Lonchura striata: one gene and its partner. The protein of the gene in region 2 interacts with the protein of the main gene of each other region in a biochemical or structural test. Links are inferred from orthologs where the notes say so. Each region holds a gene or a part of one and is shown on either strand. Other genes may lie near its edges.

Region 1 (10,398 bases), on a different chromosome or scaffold from region 2:
TTCTAAAGAAAATGACTATAAATCAGTTCAAGAATTCCAGTGAATCGTGCTTTGTGCTCATGGGTTGTGATCTAACCAGCAGTTCTTGATGGAATTACAACTGCCCTGCTCCCACTCACCTGCTATTTGCTCTGTATTAGGTTAACAATAGTAAATAAACCGTGTATTGGGTTTCAAGCTGACCTGTTCATGCCAAATAAATTCGACTTGCCCACAGGCTGTCTTAATTCAAAACATATGTATTGATTTAAATTCCATTGCTTCCATACATTAGGGTACTGTTTAGATTTTTGCCTCATCAATATTCTTCACCTTTTTTAATGGATGCAAGTTTGTTAAGGATTTGGTTCAAAAGGGTTGTCAGGTAGATGTGTGTAAGGTGGTGAAAGAGTAGAAGTGAGGTGCACTATGGTGATGTTGTACAGCACTTACCCCTGTCACCTCAACCAACAGAAGACAGTTTGTCCTTTTACAGGCACAACCTCTATTAGCATCAAAGGAAGTTTACTTTAATTGCAGGAAAGATGGCATCCTTGTTTAGTGAAAATACAACTGAAATCAGAAGAATTATAGTATGATAGTATATTTCTCATACAGCAATGTAACACAGAAGTTTTCAATTTTTCCCAGGCTTCTAAGGGTTGAAAGAGTTTTGCATGTAAAATAGCGTTTCTCCTAAGAAGACATTTTAAAAAAATCAGAACTTCATTCCAGACTCTGAACAACAAATGTAGGCCTCTAAATAAGCAGCCTGAGCTTTTCAAAAGTGCTGAGCTCTGTCAACCCCCACTGCTCTTAGGATACAACTTCTAAGGCTGGACACCATTTGACTGCATGTTCTTGCAAAGAAATACTAAGAATATGCAGTAGGTCAAAGTGGCTCCTTATCTTTGTGCGGCGATAAGGGCTGCTGCTCCTCCTAGGAAACAGTGTCTTAGAAGCGGAAGGCTGCACTTCTTATCATTCAAGTGTGTGCCATAAAGGGGTAAAAATAGGGACGTTGAGGATAAGAAAGCTGAAACTAAGGCACCTGCTACCCACAGAAGGAAACTTGGGAATGAAATAAGTGAGCGTCTGTTCTGTTTTGAATACTGCAGATCTTCACTTACAGGAACAAATAATTTGCCTGTAAAAGCCTCTGAGATTACTGATATGAGCAAAGGCTTCCTGGATTTAGATTCCTGACTTTATCATGCAGACAACATTCCATTTACCGAGTTTTACCCAAGTTGAAAATGTCACAGTTAACTGAGAGAATTAGATTTCAAGAGCAGTTAAACATTTGCAGGACATCATAAACCCCCACTGAAAATCCTCTAGTTTGTGACCTAAAATACTGCTGATTAAACAGAAAGTTTGAAATAAGGCATTGACATTGTATCACCAGATAATGCATACTTCATTCAATCTCACAATATTTTAATCCAGTATTCACTTTGCCATGATATATAATGCAGGCTATTTACAAAGATTGGCATTCTTTAAATGCCAATTTTCCCTTAAAACAAGCAGCAACAAAAATCAGCCCCATACCATGCTCTTAACCCTGTTTGCAATCGTCTTCATTTGCATCACTGTTGTACAGATTTGCACAGGACAGATAAAGGGGATGTTCCTTTTCTTAGAGATTCTGCCTTGTATACTACCTGCAGCCACATTCTGCCACTTTCATCCCTTCATAGTTATATATCAAAGTGGGCACACCAGCATCATCCTTATAAAGAATGGAGATTGAATCCAGTTTGGTCGGAACACAACAGGCCTTGGAGGCTTTTTTTGGATTTTGGAGATGCACCAGAGTTTGGACAATAGCATGTTTAGTTGGGGTGACGTTGTCTGTCAGAGGGAAGAAGCAACCCCCTTTACACTCAAAAGCCTCATAATCTTTTGGTGCGATGATCCAGGAATCCCAGCCAATCTCTTCAAAGTTCACATGGAGGGAAGTTCTCCTGCAGTGGTTGGCTCCAACACTTCTCTTGCTTCTGGAGGAATGCCGGTGGGATCCAGTGATGGCCTTTTCCTCTCCCTGCTGTTCCTCTTCAGATGAAGTGTTGTTCTTCCCTAGTTTCTTGAGCACACTTTCTTGCTCGTGAACAATCATCTCGCGGAGCTCCACTTTGGTCTCCTTGGTCCCATTGCTACGGTCATTGGAGAACACTATTAACAGGGGCAGGTTTTTTGCGTCAGGAGTAACACTGACATCCAGCTTCCCACAGGTAAAACCACTCAGAGCTTTAGTCTCTATAACAACCTCTAGCTTATTTTTAGTCTCCAGTTTGTCTGCCCTGACCCATCTTTTCACAGCGCTGGACACTTCAAACATCTTCCAACCACATTCCTGGATATTGTGGGAAACAAGGGAAGATTTGGTACTTTCTGGGTTTTCCCAGTGGCCATCATCTAGAACATCATAAATTACCATGTTGCCTTCCAGCCTTGAGAGAGACCCAGTTTCCCTGTGACAGGAGATATAAATTCTCAGTTCAGCTCTGGTGATTTCCTCATATTGTGGAATAGAGATGTTGAAGAACAAAATGTGTTTCTGAAATGGGTTTTCTTCTGGTGAATCTAAAGAAACAACATCTGCAATAGGAAATTAAAATGTGGTTACAGTGTTTCTGACTATCCAAGTAACTTGATTTTAATAGACTATATATTTTGGGGATAAAATAAGAGCATGGAAACACAGCATTAAAAAAAAATAAAGAAAGAAAAATCCTGTCTTCTGGCCAAGTTTCAAGGGCAGAGAGTGAAAAGAGGAAATGGAAGTCCCTGGTGTTGGTAGTATTTTACTGTGATTACAAAGCCAGGTGAGTGTGTGAGGGGAAGCATAAAGAGGCTGCCTAGACCAAGCTATGGATGATGCTGGGCAGTATTAAATACATAAATAAGGCATGTGCAGAGTTTTCAGATGTAGCAATTTGTTAAAGATATTTTTACAGAAAGAATTTGTAAAAAAATTAATGGTTTGATACTCTTCTGCTCTAATATACATATATAAGTGTCTTTAAGAACTGGCTGTGCTGAAGCTTTTGTTGTTGTCTTCAGATAAGTTTGAAGGCAGCTTAGACTGGGAGTTTGGGGAAATAGAAAAGTTTTTGAAAGTCCTGAATTGAAGGTCCAGTGTCTGTCTGAAGGGGGTCTTGGTACTAAACAGTCTTTCATGCCCAGGTCCAGACTGTTCCAGGCTGGATTCCTTGAATTTGTGTGGATTTGTTCACATTTGTTTGTTGTCTGCAAATCTATATGCAGTACCAGCAAGTCTGCCTTGGGAGGGGCAGGTATTTGGCTGGAAGATCAGATTGGTAGTATTTAAAAGTCATCCCTGATGTCTATTTAATGCTCAGTGTAAGCTAACTGCTTAATCATGACTGGGTTTTAGGGAATTTCAATTAGCTGTTGCTGCCATTTCTTCAGACCATTTACCCTGTAAAGTAGTCACAGGGAAGAGTCAGATATAGAAACTATAATCTAGGTCCTATTGTTGAGATTTCTTTCTATTTCAGGATTAGGGACACTAATTTGGGAATTTGGAGTTCTCTGTAATGCTGTTACCTGTGTATGTCTGTTTTTAATATAAACAGAAACTTCATTTCTCCCTGCTTCATTTTCGTAACGAGGACTGCACTTACTTCTAACTTTTTTACTGCCTGACGGATATTTTAAAAGTCTATTTAATGTTACATAAACAGGGATCTTGAATTTTTTTCTGTTGATATGAGTATGATTGACCATTTTCATATAAATCTTAGTGTAACCCAGAATTTTGGAGGAACAGTGCTGTTTCTTGCTGGAATCCAGCAACAAATTTCTCAGTTGGTTGCTGGAGTTTTTAAATATGTACAGAGCCTGCCAAAAGAGAAAAACTCTCTAGCATCAGTCTCAATTATAGGTGATCAAAGTTTGCATGCTAACATAAAAACTCAGTTTGAAATATCTAGGATTGAGAAACATGTAAACTTTGTTATTTGGTGCATCATCTTAGCTGAAGCATTTGAGAAGAGAATATTGTACAGTGAAAATATCAAAGAAGAAAACTAAAGGTAACTGCATTTTTTAAAAATTGAAAGAAACGATATAGTAAGAATATAATAGAAAATTTTAATGTTTCATTTCTGAAGAATCTGTGGAAGTTAGGAACTCAGTTTCTTCTGAATTTCAAAAGGATCTATTTACTATTAAGGTACTTCTTTAAAAATTGTAGTCCACATATTGAGGACTTTTCCTACCTTCAGTACTGAAGCTCCTTACAATATTGGATGCAGGGATGGAGGACTTGTCTGCAGCATATCTGTTGTATAAATCAATCATGAACTGTGGTGGTTCTTCTTTTGTCTTCACTTGTGAGGGTACTCTTGACAAATTCAAACTCCTTAGTAAATCCATCTTCATATTCTCCAAGAAAGATTTAAAGTTGAAATGGGTCTCATCTTCTACTTCCCTGGGATCATGAAAGTGTGCATCAGACTTTCCCATAGCTGATAGCCTGTCCCAGTCTTCCAAAGGCTTGCCTCTTGTCAAACAGGCAATGATGTTGAAAACAGACAGTGCAGCTAATACTCCAAAACAACACATTTCTTCTATATTTACTTTCTGGTGGAGAAACAAGAGGACAAGGGTATTTTAGCTGATTGCCAGTCTTGTTTCAATAAAGACAGAGGGAAGAAGATGTAAGGCAAACAACTGGAATGCCCTTTGCAAATCACTTTCTGGTGTTCTTTCTGCAGTCTGCTTCAAACCCCAGCCTCTTGTCAGTTGTCAAGCAGATTGGTCATACACTTGTCCTTATCAGAGTCATTGATGCCATGCTTCAGCTTCTGTTATCTAGCAAAGCTCTTAGTTAATGAAGATTCTGTAAACATCTGACAAACACATGTGGCTGGTGGAAAGGACATTGTATATTGTAAAGAATCCACATTTCACTTTAGGGTCATCTTTGCTTAATTACATTCTTCTATCATTTCCTTGCCAACACAGAGAGATGCTTTCTTAGGAACACAGAAGTTTGCACTGTTTTCAGCAAGACTAGAAAATACAGCTCTAGAACAAAATCACTCTATTAGCTATTAACAAATAACATCTCACAAATGATTTATATAATCCCTTCACATATGATTAGAAAATGCCCATTAGTTTGATAAAGACCTGTGATTCTGCAAGACATGATCTCATGACATTACAAACAACCTTTAAACTTCTTTCCGTTTATCAGCCAAGGGCTATTGTTTGTACACAGTGAAATCTGTTTTGTGTCAAGTTTGTTTCATGTTGTTTGCAGGCTTGTTCATTTTCATTCCTTTGGTGTATGGGAATTTAGGCTTGTTTTTATAGTATCTTATGCAATATATCTCATAGATTCATGATGGTTGATCCAGTCCAAGAACAACCAATCATTTTTTCAGCAACCTCAAAATGAAGACAGAACCAGGCCTTCCAAGGCCACATGGAAAATAAAAAGTCCTTTTGAAGATACAGAAGATTATCTCTGAAGACATTGTGTGCATGAGAAGAACAGGCCAAGGCAAATTAATTTCTCATGATACAGAAGAAAAACCAGGTTTATTTATGTTAATGAATGTATTGTGATTTAATCTAATGATACATAATTGTTTTTTCTGTACTAATAATGCATCATTTTTTCTAACAACTCTGTTCAAGCGACAACTTGGATCCAAGATCCTGGTTAATTATGTTCCTATGACATAAAGTCAAAAAGGATTATTTGGCATTGATCCTGGTCTCTCATATAGCAAGACTTATATTTACTCAGGGCCTTTGTGTTTTATACCTACATGCAGAGTCAAATTGTTTGTGTTTGGATAAACATATATTTTTAAGTGCCAACAGACTTTATCTGAATATGTCAAAGAATCAAAAATTTTGATTTTTTTAGCTAAAATATTATCACCTGCAGCTAAAAACCCCTTCATGCCATGTTCATTATTTCATTGTGCCTGACTTTACCTTCTAGACAGGAATTCTTGTAACTTTCTGGCTCATTTAAGGAGTCCCATAGCACTGACATTTTCCCCTTTCAAAGTGCTTGCACAGTGTAATCAAATTACTTCTCAGTTTTCTTTCTGATAAACAGATTGTTCTCTTTAGTAACAAAAGACATTTTCTCTCCCTGTTTTGGTTTCTTTGTTTTTTGTTTGTCTTTCAGAATTTGAAGGCCTTCTTGACAAGGTGAAACCTAGGGCTATATATAGTTTTCTAGTGGCAGTCCACCAGTGCCACATGAAGAAATAATATATCCTTTTTTTATGTGGTTCACTGCTCTAGTGTGTATATTTTCAAAGCTTTCACTGGCTTCCATTCCATAGCATCATGCTGGGTGCTCAAACTGCATCACAAATCTATGACAGCCACAAAATTCTTAAGAGTTATGACTTTCAAGGGTGAAGTCTTGTACTCAGTAGGAGCAGCCTCCATTCCTTGAGACTAGGTACCTGAACCTCTGTATCTGCCTACTTTAAAATTAATTTTAATTACATTGAGTGCAGCTAGATCAAGTGGTCTATATAAACATCTCTCTTCTGCAAATGCAGCGGGAGTTGCTATATACAGACTCAAAGTTCATACATAAAGGTGTCAAATACTGTCAGGCCAAGTGTCAGCTTTGCAGAAACTTTACAATGAACAGTTTAACTCAGTGGAAATTCCTTTTGAAAGCTGTTCTTTGAGGTTTGGCAGTGAGACATTTTTTAATCAATGTGATACAAAAACATATTAATATTGTCCAGTGGTTTATTTTAATTATGCAGCCTTGGCAAGTGAATTGAATATTTCACAGAAACCTAGGTACATTGTAGCTGTTGCTGTTACTGCTGGCAATTAAACAGTGGCCTGAAAGAATGAAATCAGTTTTGTTTTAGAAAAAATGGGTTTTAACACTTTGCTGGCCAGTATCAACTGTTTTCTTATTTTATCTGTCTTTACTCATACCATTTTCTTTTAGGATTAGTTAGTGGAATTGTCTTGACCTGTGTTTATCAGTAGTAACTTTCTCTATAAACTCAAGCATTGAGCAGAATGATTTATAGGATGTTCAGAGAAGTAAAAAAGATCTGCTGGAACCAAGACAGTGAGGGCATCAGCATCCCCTGGCAGCAGCTGTCTGCATTTGTGCCATTTCGAATGCAGTTTCTCCTTCCAGAGAAAGATTAGCCACCCAAATTACAAAGATGCCAAAAGGAATAACTTAAACTACTAAAAGTGGTTGAAAGCCTTTTTTTGCATTGAAGAATTGACCAGTACAGGTAAATTCCAAATGAAATAAGCTTTACTAATAAGAGATGTGTATGACTTGTGTAGCAAAGGTATATTTTGAGAACAATCACACTTACAGGTATAATATATACAGTCTTGCCAATAGAACTTTAAATGCAGTCTTAACCTCTTGGAGTTTTGTAGGCATCCTTATGAGTGTAGCAGTAGCATTTTTCCTTATATCCTATTGACCATAGATCAAAGTGTGGAATCTCTTGCCATAATAGCTTGCATCAGCACATCTTGGAAATAATGTTTTTATCCAAGGACTAATTCAAGATATAGCAAGTATTCCTTAAGAAAAAATAAAATGCTGTGGATGAGAATATAGGCACACTAAGTTAATGTCAGGCTTTTCAGAGCTAGTGATAAATGGGAGCAAGACTAGACATATATAAAAAGGTAGATTCTCGCAGAGAGCAGAAATAACATGGATTTAAGATACTTTGAAAAACGTTGTACTATGGCTTTTCTGTAGGAATGGTAAATTTCTGACAAATCTTAAATTTTTCTTTCTATGTTAGCTTACTCTTTCAATTGTAGTTGAGTTTCTTATGGTTTATAAAAACACAAAATTGTAAATTTTTTAAGGGAAGTCTCTAGAAGCAACATTATACAAAGTTTTTTCCCAGTAATTATAGTGTAAATTACTGTAGTGATTTACAAAGTGCAAAAATACTTCAGGAGAAGAGCTGCAAACTTGATCAGTGATCTTTTGTAAGGCATAACTGACAGTCACTACAGGGCACCATAGAACTTTTTACTTCTAAGTCAGAGCTTTCTAGGAAGAACTAGCAAGAAGTTCTGTCAGAGTAACCTAGCAAAGCCTCCCATGTATGCTGAATCTTGCTTTTTTGTATGTTGGAAATACCACATTTACATACCTCTGTTTTCTGAGAAACTGCACCAGCTGAGCATAGAAAATTGGTGGCAGAATATACCTAGAACTTTAGTAGGATAGGAGCCTTGCAGTTATTTGTTCTTTAGAAGGAAGTGCGTGTAGCACCCTTCCCTTAAACAAAGCAACTCTTAACAGGACAAGGTAGTGCCTAAAATTAGATTGCTTCTTGAGGAGGAAGCACTCCATATCTTATAATTTGTGCTTCCTCAGGGACTTCAGATGTTTCTTCCACTCTTGATCTCTTTATGCTATTTTATAGCAGGTGGGTGAAAATGAAGCATGTGGCAAGTGTGTCCTAGAACATGGGGACAACCAGAGTATTGACAGACACCATGATGGGAACACCAGCTCTTAAAAGGCTGCTGCAGTTAAAAGGCTACCATAAAAGTATCAACAGGGGATTGTGTAGGAGTTAGAGGGATGCAGAGACTTTATTTCTATAAAGACTTCCAATGGAACCACTGCCAAATGTTTCCCATTTTGATGTTCATTGTTTGAAAAGAAAGTTAATGAAAGTTCTGGAAAGAGTTCAGAAGAGAGCTGTGAGAAATTGTTTTAAGGCTTAGAATAAGAAATCAATCTATTTAAATCTTAGCCAAAATGTAACTTGACCCTACTCTCTATACTAAAAATACACAGTGAAAGTATTTTGGATAATAGATAAAAGGGATCTAATGAAATAGGTTACAGTAAGATCCATTGAATTGAAGCTAAAGCTCATCAAATTCAGTCTAGGATTAAGCCACTGCATATGAACAAAGAGCACTAACTTTTGGAACAACTACTTGTAGTCCAGTAGAGATATTCTATCACATGAAATCTTTAAAGCCAAATTTATGCAAGTTTTTCAAAGATATTCCCAAGCTCAAAACAGAAGTTCCATAATGCATGGTGCAGAAACTGCTGAGCAAGGTTCTTTCATCTGTGCTATGCAGGAGGTCAGTCTGGATGATCATAGCATTTCCTTCTATCTTTAATCTATTGAAGTGCATTATGACAAGCTTAACATGTATTTACAAGTTTCCATCTAATTAACAGAATGTAGGAAAGTGCATTTATAGAAAAACAAGCAAATATTTTAGATACTACTGTACCTTTAATTTATTAGCTTTTGTTAAAAGCATGTAACAATCTAGAGACTATAAAGAATAATTTACAAAAATATAAATCTTGGTTATTTTATTTTAGTATTTGAACAAATTACTATATTGTATGTGTTACTCAGATAATATGTTTGACAACCTGAAATCACCAGCAAACCAAAAATGTGGGATATTACATGTCTTTTGTAGAACAAATTATATATTAAGGAAGGGTAACCAAAAATGACTATATTAACATATTGTTTATATGAAAACTTATGCAGTGAACTATACTTGCATCCTGAAGAAAATATACATTTTAAGCCCTTTATTACAGCATTTTTCAGTATAAATATACATATTAAGAGTATGAGTGTTTTAGGCAAAAACTTCTGATTTGTGTAAAAAAGTGATATTCTAAAATAAGTCTGCCTTTGCAAGATCACTTCCCATCTTCTTGGTTAACTGAAGAGATAAAATAGTCAGAAAGTAACATATAAAAACATATTTTAGTCTTTTGATTATGGAAAATTTACACTTAAATTTCTCTCTAAACACCAGGTATCTTGGCTAGGTGGGTTAGAAGGTATCTGTAGAAGTACTGAATTCCTGGAAGATGAATGTGAAAGACAAATGACAGTACGACCTCTCCTTTGAGGCAAGCACGTGCATTGTTTTAGTCTTTCCGTGTGCTTTCTGTAGAGGAATTGGAGACTTGCATTGGTTCATCAGCACAAGTGGATTCATTTCTCCTCTACAACTTCCCAGAGCAGTCAGGCAGGATCTGTAGGCCTTGTTAAAGGTGTGTTTGTACCAACTTATCGGCAGGCACAAGTTTCAACTGACATATTGGGATATACCTTTAAAACAACATTTTTGTTCTCATCTAAGAACAGGACACTGAGTGAGCTCATTTTGTCAGGAACACAGCAGGGTTCTGGGATGCCAGGAATGATTCCTACTGCTTTTACGATGCTCTGGATTGTAGCATGATTTGATGGCCGGACAATCTAGAACAGAGAAGGAAATAGTTATAGCTTCATTTATGAGCAGTCACTTTCCTAGGTGGACTTGGTACAAGCAGTCAATTTCTTGTGTGAACATAGAAAATCACAAGAATTATGCAGTTGCTTGTTTCTCAATAAA
Region 2 (10,995 bases):
CAATCCTGCCTCACCTACTGCAGAGGCACAGGAAGATTGTTCTGAAGTATTTTATTATTACTTCAGGATCTTCTACTCCTTCTGAAATCAAGCATGCACACAGGTTTATCTAAGAAGTATATTAGAGGGCACATGGAGAACCTTGACCCGGGCACTTTGTTTTCTTGTTTAGTTAATGTGCATTCATCTCAGCCTCTGGAGCTCCTACAGATGGGTGCAAACCTACACCCACTTCTATCCAAGCATCTACAAATATTTTAAAGCCTAATAACAACACAGATGCTCTTTCTCCAGTATCTTAGTCAGAACGGGGAAATATTTTCACTCTCTTAACAAAGATGATTAAACTCGCTGGAAATTCCTCTCCATTTGCAGTACATTTACAGCATTTCATAGTGCAGTTTACAGATAATAAAATAAATCACTTTGAACCGAAATAGCACTTCCACACCCACCACGCAGGAAAAAAAACCACAACATTTTCACCTATTAAAAGAACCCCGGTATTAATTGGCCATGTAAACATCTGCAGAAAATAGCTGTATTTAAAAATAAATTAACAAATACAGCAAACCAAACCCCCAGTCGCTGAAAGAGCCTGACAGGAGCTGGAGCTGCACACCAAAGTCAGCCATCAATACACCTGAACTCCAAGATTTTCTTAACCATCGTCAATATTTCAAAATACAGGACTGATTTTCACACTAAAGACTGAAAAAGAAAATTCTGGCGATGATGATGTTAGAACCAATCCATCAGGTACGGTTTTAAACTGAAATAAGGCAGTTAAGAAACACTACTCATAAAAACGCCTGCACTTCAAGCTTAAAATCTTGCATAATCTTGTAGTTCTCATCAAAAACCCAACAGTTTACTGTTGAATTTATTTATTTTTAGACTTGCCTAAAATTTTAGAGTGCAGTGCTGGTGTGAGTGGAAAATAGTACAATAATTGTTAAGTACCGGAACACTTAATGTGTAATACTGGAATAACCACCAAAACAATGTCATTAACATGAGAAGCAGCCCGGATTGCAGGCGGTTTCCTGCTCATTTAGCCAAGATTAATTCTTCACAGGCAAGAGGAACATTCTTTTCACCTTACCAAGGACAACCCGAGCGAGAAACGTTAAAGAAAAGACGCTCTTTATTGCTTAGCTGTTCTTTTTTATTAAGTCTGATAGGTAATGTCAACAAAAACCACTGTTCTGTGCTCTAGGCAAAAGGATCTTAGAGGTGGACGTGGAAGAGAGACAGACACGGAGAGCAGATGGCAGCAAGTCTTTCAGAAACTGTTAGTGAGAGGGGGGAAAAAAGTTTCCCTACAAAACATATTGCTGAATTAAAAGGAACGCTGCTGAGCTGAAAAATCAGGCATTAGGAAAAGACGACACACACGTCTTCACTGCAAGGCAAAAGCTGTCAGAAATGATGATTTGTTTCAAAAGAAGAATAAAAATTAACCATCCCGAACACCCTTCTGGCTGTCCTTAAGCCGCTGTGCCGTTTCCCTGGTTAGCACAGGCAGGGTTTTTGGGTTTCTCCTGGCAGCGCTCGCCATTTCACAGCACATTTAGCGCACACAGTGCGGATCGATAGCACTACAGACACAAGACGAGACTTATCCATTTACTAACCACAGCAAAACGGCCTCTTCAGCAAAATCCTCCAACTCCATAGCGCTGGAAATTTAAAAGGCATCCTTACAGGGATCTCATTACTCCCTTCTCTCGGTCACACGGGGAGGCTGAGCACTTGTCTGCGAGCTTTTAGCCTGATAAACAAGTGTAGCTTTGCACACCCTGCAAGGATGCTAAAAACCCACCCAGAGCAATAAAGACACGCTCCGAATGCGGGCACAGAGCGCCAGGCTGGCTTGTGAAGCCGCGTTAGATCCTCACTCAGCTCCTAAGAGGGGTTTTTGTGAGACTGACGGAGCTCCAAGCACAAATGGACCAACAGTTGCCCAACCACTGGTTGCTGCCATAACAATTTTCCTCTTGGAAAAGCGTGGGGAAGTCCTCGCACCCCGCTCGCTTCCCAAGACTCAGCGCTGGCGTTTGAACCCCCAGTTCTGCTGTTTGACAGAAAAAATTAGTAGATTTTTTTCTTTTCTGCGCTAAAAGGCAGTGACATAACGAATACCAAAATACAAAGCGCTGCAAATGGTTCTTTAGAAACTGAAAGCCCGGCTTTTCACCCCAGTTCTGTTGGTACATCTCTACACGCACACACCCCTCGCTGTCACCAAAGGACGAGCCCAGCCTTTCAGAGCGGCACCTATTCTAAATTAATGAAGCATTAACGAAGGTCGCTATTCACCAGTGAATAGTCCGGGGTAAGAGAGATCAAACTGAAGGAAAGAGCATTTCAGCTGGGTAATTCTTATTTAAAACCAGCATCCAACACCGATAGCTGCGCTGCCAGGTTACTTATGTGACACTAGGTGGTTATATCTCCACATTTATTCCACACAATTGATCTGAAATCCAAGCGCTGCGAGCGTTTCAAGTGCTCACGTTATTTATATTTTTAAGAATAAAGACGAAAGCAGCTTCTGCCTTTACAGTCGCTGCCATCCACAAGTATTAGCCTCCTGAAAAAAAAATAAGATTTCTTCTCATTCATACAGAGCCAGCCCAAGTTTTCGAGTGCTGACCCCAAAGCCCTCAGTTTAAAGTGACAAATCCAGGAACATTCACTTACCTGATGAACAAGAGATAAGAAAAACAGCGAACGCCAACTTAGTAGCAGCTCCCATTTTCCAATGCTGTTAAAACATTTAAGTGACTTTAAGTATCCAGTTTTCTGGGTCCTGCAAGCTGGAAAAATCTCCCTTCTTGCTGAACCGTTATAAAGCAATTTATAGCAACATTTCTGCAGCAGGTAGTGTTCATAAAACACTAAAAATCAGGTTTGTTTAGACAGTGACGACCTCCCCAAGGCTCTTTCTAGACAGAATCCGGGTTGAGGGAGGGATAAATATATTTGGAACCGTGCTTCAAAACACACGTGTCATTTGGCTTCTGTACAAACGGTGGCAAAATTCAATTAATAAAAGTAATGCTACCAATCCACTTAAAAAAAAAAATAAAAACCAAAACAAAATAAGTCAACGATTAAGCTGCTGAACTCGACGAAGTCTCTGAGTCTCCAAATGTTTTCCACATCAGGCGCCGAGAAGGATCATCCCTCGTGGGTGCGAGTGTCGGGGGGTCGGATCGGGATCAGTCCAAGGCGATGTTTTCGTCCTGCCTCCCCCACTTCACACCTCCTGTAGTGTTTGGGAGAAAAGCAGCTCCATTCCAGTTCCAAACCTCGGGGCGAAGAGAGGAAGTTTTTTTTTTTTTGTCAGTTTGTAGATTAAAAACTACCTTAAAAACCAGCCACCAGCTACACGTGGGTTTTCTTGAATAAATGCTGAGGGATTTAGCGTAGCCCAGGAGAGGGAAAGGGGGGAAACAACAGTCTGGGAACAAACAAACCTTCGGGCTTCCCGGGAAGTGGCAAATCTCTAGTCCTTGGCCAGGCAGCGAGAGCAGTGCATCCCCCCTTCTTCACCGCCCTTCTCCAACACCAGCACTCCCGAATCCCAGCAAGATTTCCAATTCTTCTAGGAGATTTCCATCCCCTCCCCCCGCGAGAGGCTATATTTGGTATTTAAACACACAAGAGTGGCTGGGGAGGGGGGTACCAAAAAAAAATTAAAAAAAAAATGCAGTATCCAGGCGCTGGGAAGGAGGGTGGTATATTCTTTGTGGCAAATCCTTGCCGAGCGCCGTGCTTCCAGGAGAAATGGGCTTCTTTGGAAGGGAGGCGGCGGTGCCTCACGGCTGGGGCTGGATGGATCCCGGCTCCTCTCGCAGCTCACGGCTCCTGGATGGATCCACGCTCCTCTCCCTCCTCACGGACACATCTCCTCCTGGCCGCCCCGCCGCTGCTCACACACGGAGGCTCCACAAAATCCACCCCTCCGAGCTCAATCCAGTTCTTGCCTCTTTCTTTTTTTTTTTTTTTTTTTTTTTTCCTCCTCTTTTTTCTTTTCCTCCTAGGAGCGAGCAGCAGGAGACGGCAGGGGCGGGGAGGCAGAGCCTTCTCCCCGCGCCTCCCACACGGCGGAGCGGGGAGCGATCCCCTCCTCACCCTCTCCCCTAACTCTGACCCCGGCTCAACTCTCCGGTCTCCCGGGCGGCGGAGGCAGCGCGGCTCAGCCCAACTTTGTCCCTCCAGCAGTGCAGCTTAGGGGCTGGCGAGGCGAAAAGGCCGAGCCGGGGGATTCTCTCCGAGCGGCGGCGGCCGTGCCTAGAGCCCGCCGAGTGTCGCTGGCAGCGCGGAACAGCCCTCGGTGCCCTGCTGCCGCTGCTCCCCCGTGGTAATCTCATATCTACCCATTCACCCGTGTGGCGTGTGGAGAACCGGCCCAAGATGGCGGCGCCCGGGCGATTGTTTTTGTTTCCTCTCCGCCTCCCCCTCCTTCCCCACGGCCGCGGCGGCCGCGCCGGATTGACAGCCGCGCCACCCAATCACAACGCGGGGTTTGTGCCTTAGCCCCGCCCACCTCCTCTCGCCCCTCCTATCGGCGGCGGGGCGGAGCGCGCGCCCCCACGCTGGCCCCGCCCCCCGCGGCCCGCGCGCGCCGCCTCACGGGCGCGCTCCCGCCCGCCCTTCCCGCCCCTCAGGGCGCGGCCCCTCAGGCGCCCTCGCCCCGCTCCGCCCGACCCCGCTCCCCGCCGTCGCTAATTCCCCTTCGCGGGGCTCCTTCGAGGTGCTGGGGGGCTCCGGTGCTGGAGGCAAAACGCTGCCGGCGGCCACGCGGTGGGAGCTGGCTGGGAGGGGTCAGGACGGTGTAACACAGCGGGGGGAGGCTGGGGCCGCTGCCGCTGGGGTCAAATGTTGGCCTGGGCTTCTGCCTCATCGCCACCCCAGCCCCAAAATGTCCTGCAGGTAGTGCAGGTGAGAGCTACGGTGGTCTCTGTTTGTGGGCACGTTGCTCAGGAGCATCACTGCTGCTACAGCACAGAATCAGAGTCACAGAAGAGTTTGGGTTAAAAAGAACCTTTAAAAATCATTCATTTCCAACCCCCTGCCATGCTCAGGGACACCTTCCACCATCCCAGCTCCTCCAAGCCTTGTCCAGCCTGGCCTTGGGCACTGCCAGGGGTCCATGGACAGCCTCAGCTTCTCTGGGCACCCACCTTCAGAGGGAGCAATCCCTTCCCAATATCCCATCTAATTGAAACCTGCCCTTTTGTAAGCTGGAATCCATTCCAGTTGCCCTCCGTGCTGTTCTCTCCGTGCTTCTGCTGGGCTCCCCCGAGGTGCTGGAAGGCACCTGGAGTGTGTTTGTGTGTCCTGTCCAGGTCACTAATAGACTCTGCTCATTCACAAGTTTGGTGTCACTCCTTACAATTTTTTTTTTTTTTTTTCTTAGCTGGATGCCATAAAACACATCTCTTGTCTCTGGATGAAAAGGAAGACGTGGCTCTTAGATCTGGAGATCTCTGTGGGAAAACAGAAGAGCCTTAGTGCTGGCCTTTGATTTCTGTATTCTATAAAGATCTGTAGTTGCACAAGCAACAAGTGCCAAGTTCTCTGAGAGCTGGTTATCCTGTTCACCACCCCCAGGTGTTAGGTGCTCCCAGATTCCTTTCAAACTGTTTGGTGGCATGGACTAAGGGGTTTTTTTGGGATGTGAATAGCCGGTGTTACTAAACTGGAAGGAAAATTATCTGTATTTCACATATATGAATATACAGCCAAGTCAAGGCTTAGCCACACTGCTAAGCTGTAACTCACAGATCAGTAACTAGACCTGGTGCTCCACCAGGATCCAAGAAATTGATCTATTTCAGTTTTTTTTACAATGAGGTGTCTGCTTGAGTTCTTAATCAGACAACCTTGGTGTTTCTTTGTCGTGTCCCAACACTTCCCAACATTAAATTCATCCAGTGACCATATTTTTTTTATGATTTGAAATCTCCCAAACACAAAATAAGATGTCAGGGCTTGTGCACATCTAGAAGCATCAAGACATGTGGCAACACCTTTTATACCATCTTTTATCCAAGTATTTCAGAGTGATTTACAAGCGTTAATTAATGTTAAGTGTTACAACACTCCTACTTAATCTGTAGTTTTTAATATTCTTCAATAGCAGAATATTTAAACGTGACCTGTTCTGCAGGTTGTGTTTTCACTTGGCTCAGCTTCTTCAGAACACTGGTCATGTTGCCACATGAGTAGGAAATCATAGCTAAAAATATTGCTGGTGTGTGTGTGAATATATATTTATATATGTACTTCCCATTGCAAGGATTTGGTTTAGTTGTCATTGTTGTTGTTTTTTTTTTTCTTTTTTCTGAAAGAGTGTAAATTATGGTCCATATTTCTATTTTACTGGTTGTTTTTGATAAAAATAGAATAAATGTGTCACCTATATAAGAGAATTTGCCATGGCAAGGAGGTGTCTCTTACTCAAGGAGCTTATTATCCTTAGGCAGGGGTTGCTTTTTGCTGGCAGGATTCCTCTGGCAGAGCAAATCCTTCTGGCCATCCAGGAAATCTTGCAAACCCAGTCATTCTGTGGGGTTACTCTTATCAGCACCACAAGGAGAGCTCATTCCTTTTCCTCGCCACTTTTCAGCATGGCCAGGGGTCTGCAATGAGTGTTGGTGCTGGGATCAAGGAGATCTTCCAACCTGCACTGGGGATTTGCTCCCATTTAATTACACACACAAAAAAATTATATAGTTTGGTGTAGATATTCTACAGACCTTAGGAGAAATTGCCAACCGTTTTTATGAGGTACTTGATGCAAAATGCTTCAAGGGCTTTGGGCTAGGCTGTTGTTTTATTGCTAGTAAAAGGATGAGTTTTATCCCAAGCAGACACATTAAATGTCAGCACAGTTGCTGTCTCCTCTTTATTTTTAAATGTCTTTCTCATGTGAATTTTGGGAGTGTTTCCCTTTTTCACCTTTTGGCTCATCATTTCTATTTTCCTTTCGCCTCAAACTCCAGATCTTTTTTTTTCCCCCTTCCAAGATCAATCTGTCTGTGCATTTTTAATGAATCATTTACTGTGACATATGAGCACCGAAGACACAGTGTCAGGGACTTAAGCATCTGTGGAGAGCAGGAGGAGATGAAATGGATGTGATCTTAGCTTCAGTCTTTTGTTCATGTGGGATGGGACTTTGCCTAGAGGCAGCGCAAATATAACTTTTCCTTCTAGGGAGTAATGAGGAGAGTTAAAACCCAGCAATGTCTCATTTTTCTCTCTGGAGCACTGCTAGGAATTGAGGATTTCAGCTGTGCCTTTGCTATTCCCACTCTTAGCAGTGAATCAACACAAAACCCAACGTGGAAGGAGAGGAGTTTTTGTGCAGAACTCATTCAGAACACCTAGAGAAACATTTCTGAATGCAAAATGGGAAGCATGGTGTTGATAACATCAGGAGTGACACCAACAGAGAGAATCCTTGTCATTATCTCTTTCATCTTTCCTTGTGGTCTAAGTCATTCCCCCTTTGAAACTCTGGAGGAAGAGAAGACCCCATTCAGGCACTGTCCTTAAAAAACCAACAAAAAAAAAAAAAAAAAAAAAAAAAAAAAAAAAAAAAAAAAAGGACCAAAATGTCAAGAAATTAATCTGTCCCAGTGTTGCCCTCTTTACCAGCCAGCTTCAGTTTCCTTTGGGAAAAGGTGCTGGATGGCAGCCTAAATTATTTTATTTTAGAAAAGGTAAATAACTGCTTTAAAGTATTTTTGCTTTCATATGCATGATTTATGTGAAACTCACCATATTCCAAAAGAGTTTTAATACAGACTTTCAGTTCTGTTGCTGTGGACAAATAATAAAATTCCTACAAACTATTCATTATTTTGCACTTTTTACTCTGTTCCAAAACTCTTAAGATACTTCACAACTATATGAGTATCACAACTTGAAAACAAGAGAGAATGTGGACTTAATTAACCTTTTAAATGCTGCTGATGAACTGAAATGAAATCCAAAGCTTGCCTCTGCAATGCTTTTGGGTTGGGGCGACATAGCTGAGCATCAAAATGTTCTCCTTTAATGTTTCAAATCAAACTTTTAAATTTTAGATGCAGTTGCTGAATCCAGCTGAGCATCCACAAATTCAGATACTGGCTGAAATCCCAGCCCTGTTTTGGTGCAGGGCTAAAGTGGGATCATTTTATTCACATGAGCAGTGACAGGATTTGGACTGGATCACGTTCTCTAAAGCTGTTTTTGTAGCGAGTTTGTGTGCACAAATTCCCTTTTCAATTAAACACCTGGAGCCTATAGACCCTACGCCACCAGGGATTATTTTCCCTGCCTCAGGTTTAAAAAGATACAAAATATTACAGAAATTAACTTTGATACAAGTTTCATCAAGTTGTTTCCACAAAAGTTACATTTAAACCAAGGATTCTTTTTCCTTTTTGACCTGTTAGCCAGACTTTTGCTTCCTTAAAACAGGGATTGCAAGCTACCTAACCTATTTTCCTGGAGGAGGTAGGGATGTTTCTTTCTAGAATTTGCAGTCTTGTCAGAAGAAACCATCCCACTGGAGCTTCTGGCTGCTTTCAGACACTCCCTTTTCTCTGAGGGGCACTTCGTGGTGTCACAGGGTTTTATCACTGTGGCATTTATCAGCTATGATTTAATCCATATTTCACAGCAAAATTGCATTTTCTGGATATTTTCCTCTAGTCCTCATTTGTACTGTAGGATCTTTTTTTTGTAGGATCCTTTGACTCTTCATGAAGAGTCCAATCTGAATTCCTAAAATCCCAGTCAGTGCCATGAAAATGAGATTCTGCAGGTCTGTGTAGAGATCTCCCTTCTCAGAATGCACCATAATTTATATATTCTGTTACAAACTGACTCTGTGTTCATCACAGAATGCAAAAGTTCTGCAACATTGTCATGTTTTCAACGTTATTTTTGAAGGATTCTTAAAATATGTGACAAGCGTTTGTTGTTTTTTTGCTACAGCGTCCTGACAGTGATAGCAGATTTTAAAGATCTTTTGCACTGCATTTGAAAGGCTTGATACATATATTTGTTGATAAAGATTAAAATATTTTAGGCCAACAATTTGTAATTAAATAGTTATAAGAAGTAGGAGTGTGAAGTGGCCAAGTGTAGAGAAGAGATTGTCAGAGCTTCAGAGTATTCAACTGTGTGCTGTTTTGAATTATTGTGTCAATATGACTTCTGGTTGTTTTGAAATACAAATACATGAATAGCTGTAATTACTTCTGGTGTCATTCAAAATATCCTAGAAGCTTTCTGAAGGGTGGGGTCAGGAGAGCTGCCTGATGCTTTGGTAATTTAAAACCTCAGTAAGGAGAACATTCCTGGAAATATTTTTTGGTTCAGATCGATGTCACAGAGAAGATGAGTGCTGGGGAAGACAAATGAATGCCATTTTTTGCTTCAACAGATAATAATAAAGTTTCCTGCAGTATTGATATAAAATGATAATGGGAAGTGGAATTCTGGAAGGGTCAGATGGATTGGAGGATTCTGGGACTCAAATATTAGTTACTGGTAGTGCTAAAAGCTAAGAAGTTGAGGATTCAGAATGTGACTGGTTTCAGAAAGGGATGGGAACAGGGAGTCAAATGTTTATCAAATCATCCACGGGTGTTGCAGCTGACAATTTGCCATTTGGAATTTTACAAAAGGAAGGTGAAGACCCCTGGTAATGGACAAACTGCTAATAATTTTATAGTTTTTATTGCTGATAACTGGGGAGTGCAGAATTAACCCTTACAAGCACATGACATGGCACAAGCAGTTGTCCTGCTTCCAGAGGCAGCAGGTTCAGGCTAATAAAGCCTTCCTGCAAAGGAAAAGGATTGCAATATGATTTGAGGCCCATTTCCTTAAGGGAAATGCAGCTGCTGCTCTTGCTGCTGTTATCTGAACCCTTTGTTAGAGGAGGGATGTGGGAATGGAGCAGGAATCCTGATGAAGTCACAGGTGTGACTCTGGGACAATGGCTGTGAATTGCTCTAAATCAATGTGTTTTGGTTGCAGCCCATAATCCCTGATTTAGGGATTTCATAATTTCTGCACAGATTTTAAGTAGCATTAAAATAATCCTGCCAACAGCAGCTCAGGCACCCCTTTGTTCCTGCTCACTGTGACAGAAATAATTCCTCCCCCAAGTGCTGTAATTCCTGAAAATCTGGCACATTACAGGTTTCATAGGAAGAAGTGTGGAAGATTCCCAAATTTGACCCATTTCAGATTTTAAGAAGGACAAATTTCTAGGCTTGAAAGTCTCTCAGGGAAGCCCTAATAGCTGCTCACTTCTTTTTCATGAGCACAATCCATCTGGAACATTTCTCTCTGGTGATTGTGCTCTGACAAGATGGATGGGCTGAACCATTCCAGGGATTTTAAATCCTGAAAATTCAAACCCAGAATCTTTCTTCTGCAACCAGCAGAACATCCCAGCCTGGTGCTCTTATCCATTGTTCAGACCACCGGGGAGCTAAATCCTGCTCCAGCTTCTACTGCTGAATAGTTTTGGAGTTAATTCATCTGCACATAATTCTATAATAATTCCAATTCAGACATTGAACAGATAATGTTAATATCTGAGATTAAATTCTGTTTAATATCTGAGGCAAAATCCTGTTTAACCCCTAGAGTGAGAAGTTTTTTTTTAGCTCAGGGTGTTTTAAATGCACAAAATTTAGCCATTTTTCCCATTTACTTAGAAAATTTTGTACACAGCATCAACCTTTCTGATATAAAGGCTCTTTTTTTTTGCCTTGAAATTTTTTAGGCAATGAAAATGTACTTCTAATTTTGTAGTGATACCTAGTACATACACCCAGTTTTAGTAATATCAACTAATTAACTTTCATGAAACTGCAAGGGGAAAAGTATTTTTGTTTCATGTGCAGAGTTAGGGAAGCTGAAGGACACACACATGGATCCTGGAGTTTTTAACCTGTCCTAAAACAT

Evidence for each region. The genes of interacting proteins can lie anywhere in the genome.
Region 1: the proteins of ACVR2A (region 2) and GDF2 form a complex in vitro, tested with the Homo sapiens proteins (2 studies listed by BioGRID). The link is inferred for Lonchura striata from reciprocal best matches to the Homo sapiens genes ACVR2A and GDF2.

The regions. Positions count from the first base shown.
Region 1 is NC_134609.1:14,654,035-14,664,432, forward strand, and holds GDF2 (growth/differentiation factor 2), read right to left. Parts: upstream 4,784-10,398; 5' UTR 4,576-4,783; coding exon 4,230-4,575; intron 2,584-4,229; coding exon 1,643-2,583; 3' UTR 1,596-1,642; downstream 1-1,595. Other genes in the region: GDF10 (growth/differentiation factor 10), read right to left, coding at 10,071-10,262. UniProt on the Homo sapiens protein: Potent circulating inhibitor of angiogenesis. Signals through the type I activin receptor ACVRL1 but not other Alks. Signaling through SMAD1 in endothelial cells requires TGF-beta coreceptor endoglin/ENG.
Region 2 is NC_134610.1:2,545,624-2,556,618, forward strand, and holds the start of ACVR2A (activin receptor type-2A), read right to left. Parts: upstream 4,462-10,995; 5' UTR 2,762-4,461; coding exon 2,707-2,761; intron 1-2,706. UniProt on the Homo sapiens protein: On ligand binding, forms a receptor complex consisting of two type II and two type I transmembrane serine/threonine kinases.